Linked DNA regions of Xenopus tropicalis. The protein of the gene in region 1 binds, or shares a complex with, the protein of each later gene. Links are inferred from orthologs where the notes say so. Each region holds a gene or a part of one and is shown in the gene's direction. Other genes may lie near its edges.

Region 1 (4,367 bases):
AGCTGCTGTTGGACTGTTCAGAGCAGTTGACCTGAGTGTGAGAAATAGACATATTTATGAAATCAATTTTATTTAAAGAGGTTAATGAAATATTTTTAGAATAACTTTACTATGAAGTTAAAAGCATTATTCTAAGACAACTTGTATCTGGTCTTTTTTTATTGTGGCTTTTTGAAATGTAAATCTCTTGTTCTGCAACTCTTGGTCCTGGAATTTCAACTGATCTCTGGTTGCTTTAAGTTTAATTCACCTAGCAATACCATAGTAGTTTAAAAGTCTGATAAGAATAGCAATAAAACGGGTCCGTTGCAGTTCATGTGGTTTTTGGTTGTAAGTGAACCCAACAACCAGTTAGCTTTAAAGGTGGAATAGTAAGGCTAATAATACAATACAGACAAAATAAATAATGACTATTTAAAAAGTTGCTTACATGGGAAGGAAAGGTATTATCACTGGGGGTGCCAAAATCTAAGGCATCCCCCAGTGAGTGTGATCGCTTACACTGGGCTGGTACTCCTGTTAGGAGAAAACTGCACCAGCCTGGGGTAGCTGTGAGCGAGCCATTCCTTCTTCAAGCCGCATGTGCAGCAGAGTGAAAAGCCAAACTTTAACAAAAAAGCTGTCTTTTTCACTCTACTGCGCATGTGCTGGCCCTGGGATTCTGAGTATAGAAGTAAGAGGATCACTCTCTTGCAGCTACTCCAGGTATAAGGTAAGCAATTACAATCACTGGGGGTGCATAATATTTTGAAGTGATTTTATCTTTCCTTCTCCTTTAAAATAGGTGACTCTGTAACATATTAAAAGTGATTCTAAAGGTATATTTTCAGGTATATTTTAAATGTTCAGTAACTATATTAGGACTGTTACTCCTACTTGCTTTGATATTGTTACATTTCTTTAATAATAGGCAATCACAGCTGGATATTTCTACCACACGGCACGTCTTACTCGTAGTGGATACAAGACTGTCAAACAGCAGCAGGCTGTATATATCCATCCAAATAGCAGTCTTCATGAGGAGCAACCCCGCTGGGTTATATATCATGAGCTGGTTTTCACCACCAAGGAATATATGAGACAGGTCAGCTCTTACAGAGTGCATGTGTAGAAATAAGTGTGTGTGTATCCTGTAAGGCAGAATTAACCCTTGGTGTCTGTATTCCTAAAAAGAAAGAGATATTTTGCTGCAGATATAGTCACCCCTCACTATATAGTCCAGGGCAGTGCTGTCCAACTTCTGTGGTACCGAGGGCCGGAATTTTTCCGACCTACGTGGTGGAGGGCCGATAATGGAAGCCAGTTTTAACCACTCCCCTTTTTGAAACTGCACCCACTTGAAATCGCACCCGTGTTATCACATGACCATACCCATATTAATGGTTGTAGTACAGCAAAAACCTGCCATACTCTGCCTTCCCTACCCTGCCTGCGTGTGCCATACTTTGACTGTGTGTGCCATTCTTGGCTGGTTTGTGCCATACTTGGCCTGTGTGTGCCATACTCTTCCTGCCCTACCCTGCCTGTGTGTACCATACGCTGCCTGCCATACTCTGCCTGCTCTATTCTGCCTGTGTGTGCCATACTCTGCCTGCCCTACCCTGCCTGTATGTGTGTATATATATATATATATATATATATATATATATATATATATATATAATATAATTATTTGAGTGCATATATGTATAAAAATATAAATATATATTGTGTTCAGATTATAGAGATTGATAGCACATGGCTCTTAGAGGTAGCTCCACATTACTACAAGTCCCGAGAGCTGGAAGACCCAACTAGCAAGAAGATGCCAAGAAAAGCTGGCAAAAGCAGGGAAGAACTAGGCTGAAGGTAGCCATCTTCATTACCTGTGTATTTGTTTCTACTTTACAGTGTTTGTCTATTGCAAAAAAAAAACCTGGAAATCAAAGACAATGAATAATGTATAGTTCTAGTAATTTAAGTTTTACCATTCTTCTATTACAGTTTGTAATATGCCACACAAATAGGCACTACAACCCCCAGAAATCAGAAATGTTATTAAATACAGTTTCTAATTCTTTTCCTGTTGTTGCAACCAGGGTTCCCAAATTAAGTCAATTTTTTCTGGACATCCTCTAGCGAGGTATGCCAGCTTTTGGTTAGGGAGAGTTTCATTAATCAGTTTCTTCCAGAATGCCAAAGAGGGAGGGGTGTTCAACATATCAGTTAAGAGAATAGCTTTTTTAGCATAATAAAATAACTGCAAATAGCATGGTTTCTCCTATTGAGGTCACCAGTTATACCCAGTAGGCACAGGCTCGAAGACAGTATGTTGGGAAATGTGAGTATACGCTCAATATATGTCACTATTTAACACCAGAAAGTACGTATAACTGGGCACTCGCAAAACACATGTAAAAAAGGAACCAACATCATTTTGGCATTTGGAACATTGGTGGTCGGAGGCTCCTGATATACTTTGGACTGTCTCTGTGAGGTCAAATAGACTCTATGAATAATCTTAATTTGGATGTACGTGTCTCTAGCTGACATGGTGAGTTAAGACACCCAATCAAGTGCCTCTTCCCACATTTCCTCTTCCAAATCTGGTATATTGTCATACCACTTTTTCTTGGTCCTGAGGAGAGTATTGGATTGAAGATTCATCAAAATAGCATATAAATATGTCAGTGCCTTAGTTAGATCTTGTCTATGGAGGTATAGTTCTACAACAAATTGTAGTGCACACAAAGTATTTTGTGTAAAGATGCAATTTTTTGCATTTATTCTGACCTGAGCACAGTTTTTAAAATTGTACACACAACTTCAAAATGTGCACCTAAAAGAATTTTTTTGTGCACATAGTCAAAACAGAAGGCCAATGAATTCACATTTAAAGCAGGCTAGCATTTGCCAGCTATCAACTTAATGATGTGAATATTTTCAGAAAGGCATTCCAGTGTCCTAATATGCAATATCCTAAATGCTGTTATACAGAGAAATGCCAATGTCCAGATACAGTACTGAGATACCTCTCACTATATCTTATGTACACAATGCAGGATATGCTGTTCCACAGAGAATACCCAGTGTCATGTTAGGCTTGTGTGCTGCTATTAAAAGACATCCTAGTCTGCTTTGTATCATCCTAAGGGCAATCTGTGCTGATAAATTGCTTAGTCATTTTCATGCAGAGACAAGCCAGTGTTCTGATATGTTATATATAAAAAGAGAGACTCGGTAGTGTTTTAAATAATTAGTGTTCAGTTGGAGATTTCAAGTATATTTATACTCAGAGGTGTTTCACACGTGAATATATTGAACAATATGTTGGTTAATTGTGAATTTATTTTTATCTTTTAGAACTTTAACTCTGCTGCAGTAGAACAACACTTGTATGGGCTGTGGCTGGATTGTTTAAACATCTGTAAATCTCTTGTATATAAATATTTTTTGGTACACGATTGGGGGTTTTTTTGTCTTTTTTTTTTTTTATTGTTTTTAATTCACCATTGTCAAATTTTGGAATTTAATCACTCTATGAGAACAGAAAGAGGCCTACTGAACAAACTCTTTATGTAGTAGAGTTGGTGGCTGAGGGAAGTGGCATAGGTAGCTGTGCAATAAGAGAAATTCAGATGACACAACTTTAAGGCTTCAGTTACAATTCCCAAACCAAAATATACCTAAATGCATCAATATTAGCCTCCAGTGGGTAGTATCTATAGTAGAACGTTTTTATATATTTGTTTTAATGCGTTGGATTACTGCAGAATACAGGGTTTGTCTCTACTCATTTTTCCAAAACCTTAAAGGTGCACCCTTCTGGAAGAAAATCCATGACAGCTGGGAATCTTAGGGATCACTTTGCATCATTGAGGGTAACCCCAAATATGTGAGAGGATAGGCAGATCACTGAGAAGCCAGGGAAGAGGAGATTGGACAGTTAGGGTAAATGTAGGGCTGCCATCTGGCTGGTAAAAATGATGCTTTATCCCAGTTAATAGGATAGATACATTTATTTGAAGGCTGGTATTTTTTTCCAGAAAATGTGGCAAGCCTATGTATATGAGGGAAACAAGTTTGCTTCCATTATAATAGGATGGCAGGGCCGGGTGGCTGATCTAGTTTACAAATTTGCCATTTTAAGTGAAGATGTTGAGAAATACTTAATTCCAAGTTGTAGCCATGAGATCCACCATTTGTACTCTCCAGTGATGACGTGGTGGTGACAAATCCACAATCACTTACTGACTGTAGCAGCATTATGCTATATTTATATAATGGAATTATATTCCACAGCACTTGCCAAAGATTCCATATCAATCCTTGCCACAATTTATTTGTCTAATAGAAACAACTGTATCCAAAAACACAACCTACCTGGA
Region 2 (5,268 bases), on another chromosome or scaffold:
ACCTGCTATCCCACAGCCACAGTCCCTTCCCAGAGGCTATTATCCCACTGCTACTATAGGCACCATCTCTCCCTACTATACCTGCTATGCCCACAGCCACAGTCCCTTCCCAGAGGCTATTATCCCCCCACTGCTACTATAGGCACCATCTCTCCCTACTATACCTGCTATCCCACAGCCACAGTCCCTTCCCAGAGGCTATTATCCCCCCACTGCTACTATAGGCACCATCTCTCCCTACTATACCTGCTATCCCACAGCCACAGTCCCTTCCCAGGGAATATTATCCCACTGCTACTATAGGCACCATCTCTCCCTACTATACCTGCTATCCCACAGCCACAGTCCCTTCCCAGGGAATATTATCCCACTGCTACTATAGGCACCATCTCTCCCTACTATACCTGCTATCCCACAGCCACAGTCCCTTCCCAGAGGCTATTATCCCACTGCTACTATAGGCACCATCTCTCCCTACTATCCCTACTATACCTGCTATCCCACAGCCACAGTCCCTTCCCAGAGGCTATTATCCCACTGCTACTATAGGCACCATCTCTCCCTACTATACCTGCTATCCCACAGCCACAGTCCCTTCCCAGAGGCTATTATCCCACTGCTACTATAGGCACCATCTCTCCCTACTATACCTGCTATCCCACAGCCACAGTCCCTTCCCAGAGGCTATTATCCCACTGCTACTATAGGCACCATCTCTCCCTACTATACCTGCTATCCCACAGCCACAGTCCCTTCCCAGAGGCTATTATCCCACTGCTACTATAGGCACCATCTCTCCCTACTATACCTGCTATGCCACAGCCACAGTCCCTTCCCAGAGGCTATTATCCCCCCACTGCTACTATAGGCACCATCTCTCCCTACTATACCTGCTATCCCACAGCCACAGTCCCTTCCCAGAGGCTATTATCCCACTGCTACTATAGGCACCATCTCTCCCTACTATACCTGCTATCCCACAGCCACAGTCCCTTCCCAGAGGCTATTATCCCACTGCTACTATAGGCACCATCTCTCCCTACTATACCTGCTATCCCATAGCCACAGTCCCTTCCCAGAGGCTATTATCCCCCCACTGCTACTATAGGCACCATCTCTCCCTACTATACCTGCTATCCCACAGCCCCAGTCCCTTCCCAGAGGCTATTATCCCCCACTGCTACTATAGGCACCATCTCTCCCTACTATACCTGCTATCCCACAGCCACAGTCCCTTCCCAGAGGCTATTATCCCACTGCTACTATAGGCACCATCTCTCCCTACTATACCTGCTATCCCACAGCCACAGTCCCTTCCCAGAGGCTATTATCCCACTGCTACTATAGGCACCATCTCTCCCTACTATACCTGCTATCCCATAGCCACAGTCCCTTCCCAGAGGCTATTATCCCCCCACTGCTACTATAGGCACCATCTCTCCCTACTATACCTGCTATCCCACAGCCCCAGTCCCTTCCCAGAGGCTATTATCCCCCCACTGCTACTATAGGCACCATCTCTCCCTACTATACCTGCTATCCCACAGCCCCAGTCCCTTCCCAGAGGCTATTATCCCAGTTGATATTATTAATCCTTTTCTGACACCTACACAAATACACCTCATGTCATGTTACTAAACTCCCTCCTGCTTTCCATGTAGAATCACCTGAGAATCCCAAAGCCCTGGTTAGTGCCCGGACAGGGCCATTACAGGCATCATATTAAAATAAACAAGTGCTGCCCATCACGGACAGACGGGCCCCGGTTAGAGTTACCTGCTCCAGGCGTAATTGTGCGAGCACCTCAGGTGTCACACGCAAAAATGTGTCCTTAGCACTTGTGAGTTTCAGGGACACAGCAGCCCCGGGCGGTCCCGGACCTAGCATCCTACTGTGGCGTACCCACAGCAACCCCCTTCACTCCAGCGCTGTGTATGACGAACGTGCAAGTAACAGAACTTCCATCGCTAACGTTATCAGCTCCTTCATGCCTACTGGGTAACTTCCGCGCTGTTTCACCTTTGACAATCGAGGAAATCCCACTCACCCTGTGTCTGCTGACGTATAGTACCTCCCGCCCAATCAGAGAATGGCGTGCTCTAATGACGCCTGTGTGCGGGGCAGTCCTTCCGCCTATTGGTTCTGCTGCCTTTCCGCCTATTGGTTCTGTGTCCCGGCCTGTGTTTGGTACAGGGAGAGAGGGAACTATTTCTTAGACAGCAGAAGCCGATGGCAGAAAGCGCAGCAGTGCAAGTGCAGGCCTACGCACACCATGAGCAGCGAAAGATATGCGCCTCACGGGCCAAGTACCGCGAAGGACGGAGGCCCAGAGCAGTCAAAGTGCGTGAAACATTTACAGTTTTTGTTTTGGTTTTTATACGTCCACACAACTAGTATTCCAGCGTATTCTTGCGGTGGGACTGAGCGCCAGTGCCGCTCTAGCAGGTTTCCCTTCGTAGAAATTGCTCCCTAGAGTTATCACTGAGTTACAGCTTCCATAAGAATGTTAGCTCTTCTATATTCATGTGGTTTTAATTGGGCACTGTGTGGGAACTGGTAATGATTTCTGTTTCTACATAGGAGCATATTGTTCCACTGAAGGAAAAAATGCTGCCTTTTTATCTGCACCCACTGATAGGGGAATAGTGTGGGAGAGGGATTAGAGTTCTAGTTCACCATTTGGAGGCAGTAGGTTTCATTATAAACTATGGGCTATTTCCCATGATTGTAATTATAGATGTCACAGACCCAGTGGCTGCAACTGATAAGGCTAAATATATGTTTATGAATAAAAAGATAATTTTGTGGTTGGGCCCAGTGGTCTCTAGTTACACCAGCAGTCATGTATACTGCAAGCCAGTGGGGTACCACAACAATTTCAATTTAGGGCCCAAAAAATATTTGTATGTTAACCTATTCTACCAAGATACATTGACATTTCTCATCAATTAGGGTCTTATTGGGCCACTTCCATTCCTGGGCCACTTCCATTCCTGGGCCACTTCCATTCCTGGGCCCCCTTCCAACTGCAGGGTCTGCCCTAGCACACACTCCAGTTTCCCTTTCCTTGCCCTGTAACATTACATCATTTCACTCTGCACACATTCTCATACAACCAGCACACTTAACATGTCTGCATATAAAAAAAACACACACAAACTGATACTATTTTCTTTTAATTTCATAAAGAAGAGTATAATGCACTCAGTTACTGGGTTCACGTTAAACTGAGGGGTATATTTAAAAAAAAAAAAAAAGTTTAAATTTGACGCTTACCAAGATTGACTTGTAAGGGTCTGTTTTAAGCTTTCCATATCATGTGACAAATGTAAGATGCTGATGTGCATTTAAATTTTAAATGTTTGAGAAATAAAAAAAATTATATTTTGACCAAAAACTGAAAATGTGCCTCATCTCAGTTTTGTGCCTGTAGCCCTCGGCTATTGCACCCAGTCAGATTTATTCATATAATGCCAGAGATTCTCAGCTGGATTGAGGTCAGGCCTGTGACAGAGCCATTTGATCACTGGGATCACTGTTCTACTGAAAGATTAATGTTTATTTTTTAGCAGCCTGGAACAGGCTTTTTTTTGGTGATATTTCACTGTATTTTGCCCCATGCCTTGAAAACAATATTCCCAGTTGCTGCGTTAATTATATAACACACAAATCTGTGGTACTAATGAAGAATCAGGCTTTTGCGCAGAGAAATCTTTAGTTTAGGACTTTAAAAACTGTTGATTCCTTGCTGAATACTTGGACAGATAACCATTTGCTTTATACAGTATGGCAAACATGGCATATACAAACAGTTGTATCACTCTGGCTTGATTAAGCCATTTTACAGATGATGCAAATAGAAAAACTTTAACGTATGTTCAAGCCAAAGAAAAGTATCCAGTGCTTTCTAGCAAGTTACTGGCTTTCCTTCAAAAGCGATACCAGTAAAATTATATAGCCATCCTCCCGCCAAGAGAGCTATATCACTGGGCTTTAAACTATTATATAAGCAGAAATGAGTTGCTGGAAAGCTGCACACCATAAGAGCAAGTTAATACCTGGGTGCCAGTGCTGAAAGCGTAGATACACAGGGTTGGAATGACAGCACACGCAGGATGTTTTTCAAGAAGAATCACAGAGGTTTAGATAAATAAATGTGAGGCTTTATTCAGTCCGACGTTTCAGTTCCTATCTGGAACTTTCATCAGGGACAGTAACATCACAGTGCAGTACAAACCTTTTTAAGCACAAAAGGGCCCTAAACCTCTGTGATTCTTCTTGAAAAACATCCTGCGTGTGCTGTCATTCCAACCCTGTCTATTATATAAGCAGATAGTCTATACTTCTTCCACCAAGGGACACAACAAATGGCTTCTGAAATTTTCTCAATTACAAATGTCTCAAGGCCTTACAGTATGCAAATAAATGTCTTCCAATGGGATCATATAAAGAAATGCATCTAAAATTCTTTTTATTGAGCCTACTACTCGCCAAAAGTCAGTCCCAAATAGGACTCTCTGGAGGCAGATTTATTTAATTGTTTCTGGACATGTCCTCATAGTAAAAAGTTTTGGGTATCAATAACTTGTTATGCCATTGATAACTTGCTAGACTATGTTCCTATGTTACCAAAATGGATTATGTTCCTATGTTACCAAAATTGACAATGTTTGGTATCCCTACCAAATACTAGACTTATTGGGGGAGTAGAAAAGTACTGTTTATCATATCTGCAGCTGCTCGTAAATATATGCTACAAGTGTGGATAGAGAAACAACCCCGTCACTGTCTTTTTTTAAAAGTAAATTTTATATATTCACCTATTATTTCACCTGTTTCACATGGATTGGCTAGAAGTCTCCCTCCAAAAAGAAAAACACACGAGATGAAGAAAGAAACAAATGGCAATCAGTTTTAAAATGTTTTAAGAACAATTATTTTAAAACAAGGTTACTGATCCACCAGTAGTGCTATAGATGCTATAGAAAGCGCTTTCTCTTACCATTATCCTTCCAAGTGAATGACTTCACTTTGAGAATTATAAAACTATGCTTCTTGTAGATTGTAAGCTCTTTTGGGCAGGGCTCTCTTCACCTTTTGTATCGGTTTTTGATTGCTTAGATGTCCAGTGTATGAAACCCACTTATTGTACAGCACTGTGAAATATGTTGGCACTTTATAAATAAATGTTAATAATAATAATAAAAGAAAACCCCCAAAAACTGGCAATTCCTGCTAACCTTTTCCATTACTTTTAAGGTGTACACT
Region 3 (5,351 bases), on another chromosome or scaffold:
GAGTTAGACCAGTCATGCACACAGCATGTTAAAACCTGTTCATAACACCCATCATGTTTACAGGGTAACCCTTTTGAAATAAAAAATAACAAAAGTGGTATAAAGGTGATACCTTTATTGGCTAACTAAGATAATCATAGCAAGCTTCCAGAACATTTTAGTTCCTTTTTTCTAGCCAATAAAGGTACAGGTATGGGATCCCTTATCTGGAAACCCATTATCCAGAAAGTTCCGAATTACGGAAAGGTCATCTCCCATAGACTCCATTTTAATCAAATAATTCACATTTTTAAAAATTATTTCCTTTTTCTCTGTATAAATAAAACAGTACCTTGTTCTTGATCCCAACTAAGATATAAGCAGTGGGGGATTTTTGGTCCCATTTAAAAACTGTTGAAGTCACACGGAGCTACTAGTAGCAGCTACTTTTTTACAGCTACTAAATGCCAGAAAATCCCCTGCCATAGACAATACTGAGAATTGCCTCTGCTAAAAAACATGTTGAGACTGTTATCCAGGGCTGTGGAGTCGGTAGAAAAATTCTCCGACTCCTCAGTTTCTGATACTTCCGACTCCTCTGTTTTTAATATGCGAATGTATTTTATACATTCATACAGTCAGTGAAAAGCATGCTTCATGGTCACTCAACGTGTTAGTTTATGCACTGCGTGCATTGGGCTTTATTCTTATAGCAGAGAAGTAATTAATTATGACTGTTTGTGAATTGGGACATTTAAACTTGCTTTATTTTTTTTTTTTTATTCCCATTTAAATTTAGTAGGAGTCGGAGTCGGTTCATTTTTTGCCGACTCCGACTCCAGGTACCCAAAATTGCCTCCGACTCCTCGACTCCGACTCCACAGCCCTGCTGTTATCAGTAAATGATCAGCATTGTCTACTACAAGTAGCAGCTACTATTAGCTCCATGTGTCTTCACCCTAAGGGCTCTGGTACATGGGGAGATTAGTCGCCCGCAACACGGGAGATTTGTCGCGGGCGACTAATCTCCCCATGTACTAGAGCCCTAAGGGTACAAACCCACTGAGTGAGTTAGGAGAGATCTATCACATGTGAGTAACTGCTTCGAAAAGGCTTTCCACAGGTAACAATAGAAGTCGCTGGTGGAAAGCCCTTTGTATCGTTTCGTGTTCCGAAGTTGCACAAAGTTTCCTCCTGCAGGCAACTCTGCGTGAGTAGTCCTTTTTGGAGCAGCTACTCGCATGCGATATTGTGGGCAAGTAACTCGCTCGGTGGGTTCTTAGCCTAAAGCTGGCCATACACGGGCAGATCCGCTCGCTTGGCGATGTCGCCAAGCGAGCGGATCTTCACCCGATATCACCACCTACGGGTGGCGATATCGGGGAGGAATTTCGGTGAATTCGATCGTTTGGCCCTGGGGCCAAACGATCGAATTCTGCAAGCAGCAATGGGGCAGTCGGTTCGGGGACCACATCAACGAGCCGATGCGGTCCCCGGTCTGACAGGATTTTCTAACCTGGCCGACCGATATCTGGCCAATTTCAGGCCAGATATCGGTCGGCCAGTCCGATCGTTTCTGCCCCTGCACGGGCCGATAAGCTGCCGAGTCGGTCCAAGGGACCAATATCGGCAGCTTCTATCGGCCCGTGTATGGGGACCTTAAGAGCCTGAAGACAAAGGCAGAAACAACCGAAAATATAAAATGAAGACTAGTTGAAAAGTTGCTCAAAACAGGCTATTCTATAACATACTTAAAGTTTAACTGAAGGTGAACCACCCCTTCAAAAGCAGAAAAAAATGATGTCCTACGTATTTTGGGGACTCGGGCATAAAATAGCGGGGGATAAAACTAATTGGGTTGGGGAGTTGGGTTGTGTGCGTACAGTGTACAGTACAACATAATGCACTTTGCAGAGACTTTACACATGTCGAGTTCAGACTCGAGCCTGTATTATAAAAGTCCTCTCTATCAAAATCAGATGGATCAGGTGAGGTAAAAAACGTGATTTATAAATCAGACTAACCTGGGACAGCCATAAGTCACAATTCTCAGCGTCCGTACACAGAAGATCGCACCCCTCAAACAGTTACTGCGCGCCTCCTAACCAATTCACTTCCTCGGAACTCAATCACAGCATGGACTTGTTTCTCAGCGGAACAGAATAAGCGGTGCGCAGTGGAACGCAAATGAAAGCTCTGGTTTCCGGGAAGTGTACTTTCGGCCACACTAAGAGAAAGGGGGGAACTAAAGCAATGCAACTCTGGTGTAATCATCCTCTGCTGTAGACGCTGTGATCTTGGAGCATTCGGGTAACAAAATACGAGCTACTATATAACTGTGGATGGGACGAGTCCTGTTAACGCTCTTTGCTGTGTCATTTTTAAATCAGAATCTTCTCTGGCACCCCTCTGAGGCTGTATGTGGGCGGTCCCGTCCTGTCAGGTTGCACGCTGGAGTTTGTTTGCAAGAAGCTGAGTAACAATGAGCAATATTTACATTCAGGAGCCGCCGACAAACGGCAAGGTGAGCAGCGGGAGAAAGTAAGGGGCTTGTAGGGCAGAAGGATAAAGGAATAATATTTAGCATGGGATTCCCATCTGCTGTTGCTGAAATATCTCTCCCAGCGCGGTACCTGATAAAGGAAATGTAAAGTCTATAAGTAAATTTACTCAATGTTTTTCTGTGAAAATACATTTCCCAGGGTAAATGTTTTAGTTTCGCGTCATGTAGCTGCCCCCCCCAGCTGTCAGCACATTGGTATAATCCACATGGGGAGCAGAGAGGACTGTGCTGCGCTTTATGGAGACTCCTCCTGCATATTCAGCCCTAGGACAGAGCTTCTGAGCTGACTAACTAATGTCCTGCTAGGAAGGTGCCCAAATGCACCAGTGCAGGCTGTCCTTTAGTTACATGAATGGGCTCCAGGCGAACCCCAGCCACATATATAGGCTATATACCAAACTAACATACCTAAACTATATATACCAACATCAATACTAACTGTAGATATTAGTATCACAATAGCCTTGGATATTCTGCTTGTTCAAGAACTCATCCAGGCCCCTCTTATAGGCATTAACAGAGTCTGCCATTACCACATCACTAGGAAGGGCATTCCCCAACCTCACTGCCCTCCCCGGGGCGTGAGGAACCCCCTACGCTGCTTCAAATGGAAGCTCCGTTCCTAAGGGGGGGCCTCTGGTGTGGTGGTTGTTTTTATGGGAAAAAAAGAACCCCCCCATCTGCCTATATTCCCCTCTAATGTACTTGTACAGAGTAATCATGTCCCCTCGCAAGCGCCTCTTTTCCAGAGAAAACAACCCCAACCCTGACAGTCTAACCCCATAGTTTAACCCTTCCATCCCCTTTACCAGTTTAGTTGCAGTCTCTGCACTTTCTCCAGCTCATTAATATCCTTCTTAAGGACTGGAGCCCAAAACTGCACTGCATACTCAGGGTGAGGCCTTACCAGGGACCTATAAAGGGGCAAAATTATGTTTTCATCCCTTGAGTCAATGCCCTTTTTTTAAGCACTTTATTGTAGCCACAGAATGACACTGCCTAGAATTAGACAACTTGTTATCTACAAAAAAAACCAGATACTTCTTTATTAAGGATCCCCACAACACACTACTATTTAGTGTGTAATATTATTACATTATTATATTATTTCTACCCAAGTGCATAACTTTGCAGTTTTCAACATTAAACCTTATTTGCTGCCCAGTTTTCCAGCTTTGTCAGCTCTGCAAAGCGGCAGCATCCTGCATGGAACTTATAGTTTTGCACAATTTAGTATCATCAGCAAAAATAGAAACAGTACTTTCAATGTCCACCTCCAGGTCATTAATAAACAAGTTAAAAAGCAAAGGACCAAGGACTGACCCCTGCGGTACTCCACTAACAACACTGGCCCAATTAGAAAATGTTCTATTTACCACCTCTCTCTACACTGTAATCTATCCTTCAATCATTTATTTATCCAATTTAAAATATTATGTTCCAGTAGTGCTGGGCGGTATACCGGTATATACCGAACACCATTTTTTTAAAAAAAAAATGATAAAAATTTTTAACTTACCGGCATACCGGTGTGGGCGCCTCCTGGCAATTTTTCTTACTATTTCCGGGTTGTGCGCGCTGACGTCGCGCGTGCAACCCGGAAATAGTAAGAAAAATTGGGGGGGGGGGGGTGTTTGGGGTGGTCACCTAATCATGCATGGGGAAAAAAAAATACCGTCAAATACCGTGATACCGATATAATAAAAAAAATACCGTGATATAAATTTTTGGTCATACCGCCCAGCACTATGTTCCAGGCCAAATTTTACCATTAACTTTCTGTGCAGTACTGCTAAATGCTTTAGCAAAGTCCAAGTAGATCACATCCACTGCCATCAACTTGCTCACCTCCATATTGTTGCTCAATGTCATCCCATTTCTTTCTATATGATGTACCCATAAGTATCTCCTGAACTACGCTGTGATAATTATATATCTAGTTCCATGTAAGAGGTAAAGAAGGTCTACAGCAGTGAGCCCCAACCAGTGGCTTGCAAGGAACATGTTGCTCCCCAACCCCTTGGAAGTTGCTCCCAGTAGCCTCTGGCTTGGATGCAAATTTTGGGGGCATAAAGACCATGTGTACTGCCAAACTGAGCCTCCTGTAGTCTGCCCATCCACGTTGGGCTACCTAATAACCAGTCACAGTCCTCATTGTAACCCCTAGAAAACTTTTTCGTGCTTGTGTTACTCCCCAACTTTTTTATATTTAAATAATGCTCACGGGTAGGGTAGGATGTCCTGTGTGAACTTGTGTCATACTATATGCCACACGTGAAAGACAAAGGCAGCAAGAAGAGGAAGAAATCCTGCCCAAATAATAATTTTTACTACCACTTTTCCAGGTTTTGCTGAAAACAACTGCTGGAGAGATTGACATTGAATTGTGGTCAAAAGAGGCACCAAGAGCATGCCGAAACTTTGTACAGCTTTGTTTAGAAGGTAACGTTGCAAACAGAAACACACACTTGCAATAAAAGCCAGATTACTTCAGAACTTTAGAAAACCGTTGATAATGATGCCTTGCTAAGCTGATCCTTGCAACCAAAGAGAAAACCAACAGTGGCAGGCAATAATTTATTATTTTTTGCTTCTATTGGGTCATAGATTTGATTTTCTATTGATTTCCCCCTTCTTCTTCCCTTTTTAAATTGGGTAATCTATTTCACAACCCCTTATGCACTTTGTTTTAATAAATGTTATGCATTGTAGAAAGACATTTCACATTATTAAAAGAAGTGGAATCCCACTCTTAACGTCATGGGCGGCCGTATATGGCACTCAAACCATAGCTTAAGAACCCTTGCTT

What was found. Proteins that work in one complex are often made in the same cells at the same time.
Region 2: dhx16 (region 1) and rbm48 share a complex: the UniProt entries of both Homo sapiens proteins name them as parts of the minor spliceosome. The link is inferred for Xenopus tropicalis from reciprocal best matches to the Homo sapiens genes DHX16 and RBM48.
Region 3: dhx16 (region 1) and cwc27 share a complex: the UniProt entries of both Homo sapiens proteins name them as parts of the minor spliceosome. The link is inferred for Xenopus tropicalis from reciprocal best matches to the Homo sapiens genes DHX16 and CWC27.

The regions. Positions count from the first base shown.
Region 1 is NC_030684.2:75,475,200-75,479,566, reverse strand, and holds the end of dhx16 (putative pre-mRNA-splicing factor ATP-dependent RNA helicase DHX16), read left to right. Parts: intron 1-910; coding exon 911-1,084; intron 1,085-1,717; coding exon 1,718-1,846; 3' UTR 1,847-1,848; intron 1,849-3,342; 3' UTR 3,343-3,443; downstream 3,444-4,367. UniProt on the Homo sapiens protein: Required for pre-mRNA splicing as a component of the spliceosome. Contributes to pre-mRNA splicing after spliceosome formation and prior to the first transesterification reaction.
Region 2 is NC_030682.2:31,762,591-31,767,858, reverse strand, and holds the start of rbm48 (RNA-binding protein 48), read left to right. Parts: upstream 1-2,114; 5' UTR 2,115-2,229; coding exon 2,230-2,340; intron 2,341-5,259; coding exon 5,260-5,268. Other genes in the region: pex1 (peroxisome biogenesis factor 1), read right to left, coding at 1,777-1,887. UniProt on the Homo sapiens protein: As a component of the minor spliceosome, involved in the splicing of U12-type introns in pre-mRNAs.
Region 3 is NC_030677.2:188,226,039-188,231,389, reverse strand, and holds the start of cwc27 (spliceosome-associated protein CWC27 homolog), read left to right. Parts: upstream 1-2,197; 5' UTR 2,198-2,289; intron 2,290-2,369; 5' UTR 2,370-2,461; coding exon 2,462-2,503; intron 2,504-4,887; coding exon 4,888-4,984; intron 4,985-5,351. Other genes in the region: protein SREK1IP1, read right to left, coding at 2,004-2,016. UniProt on the Homo sapiens protein: As part of the spliceosome, plays a role in pre-mRNA splicing. Probable inactive PPIase with no peptidyl-prolyl cis-trans isomerase activity. As a component of the minor spliceosome, involved in the splicing of U12-type introns in pre-mRNAs.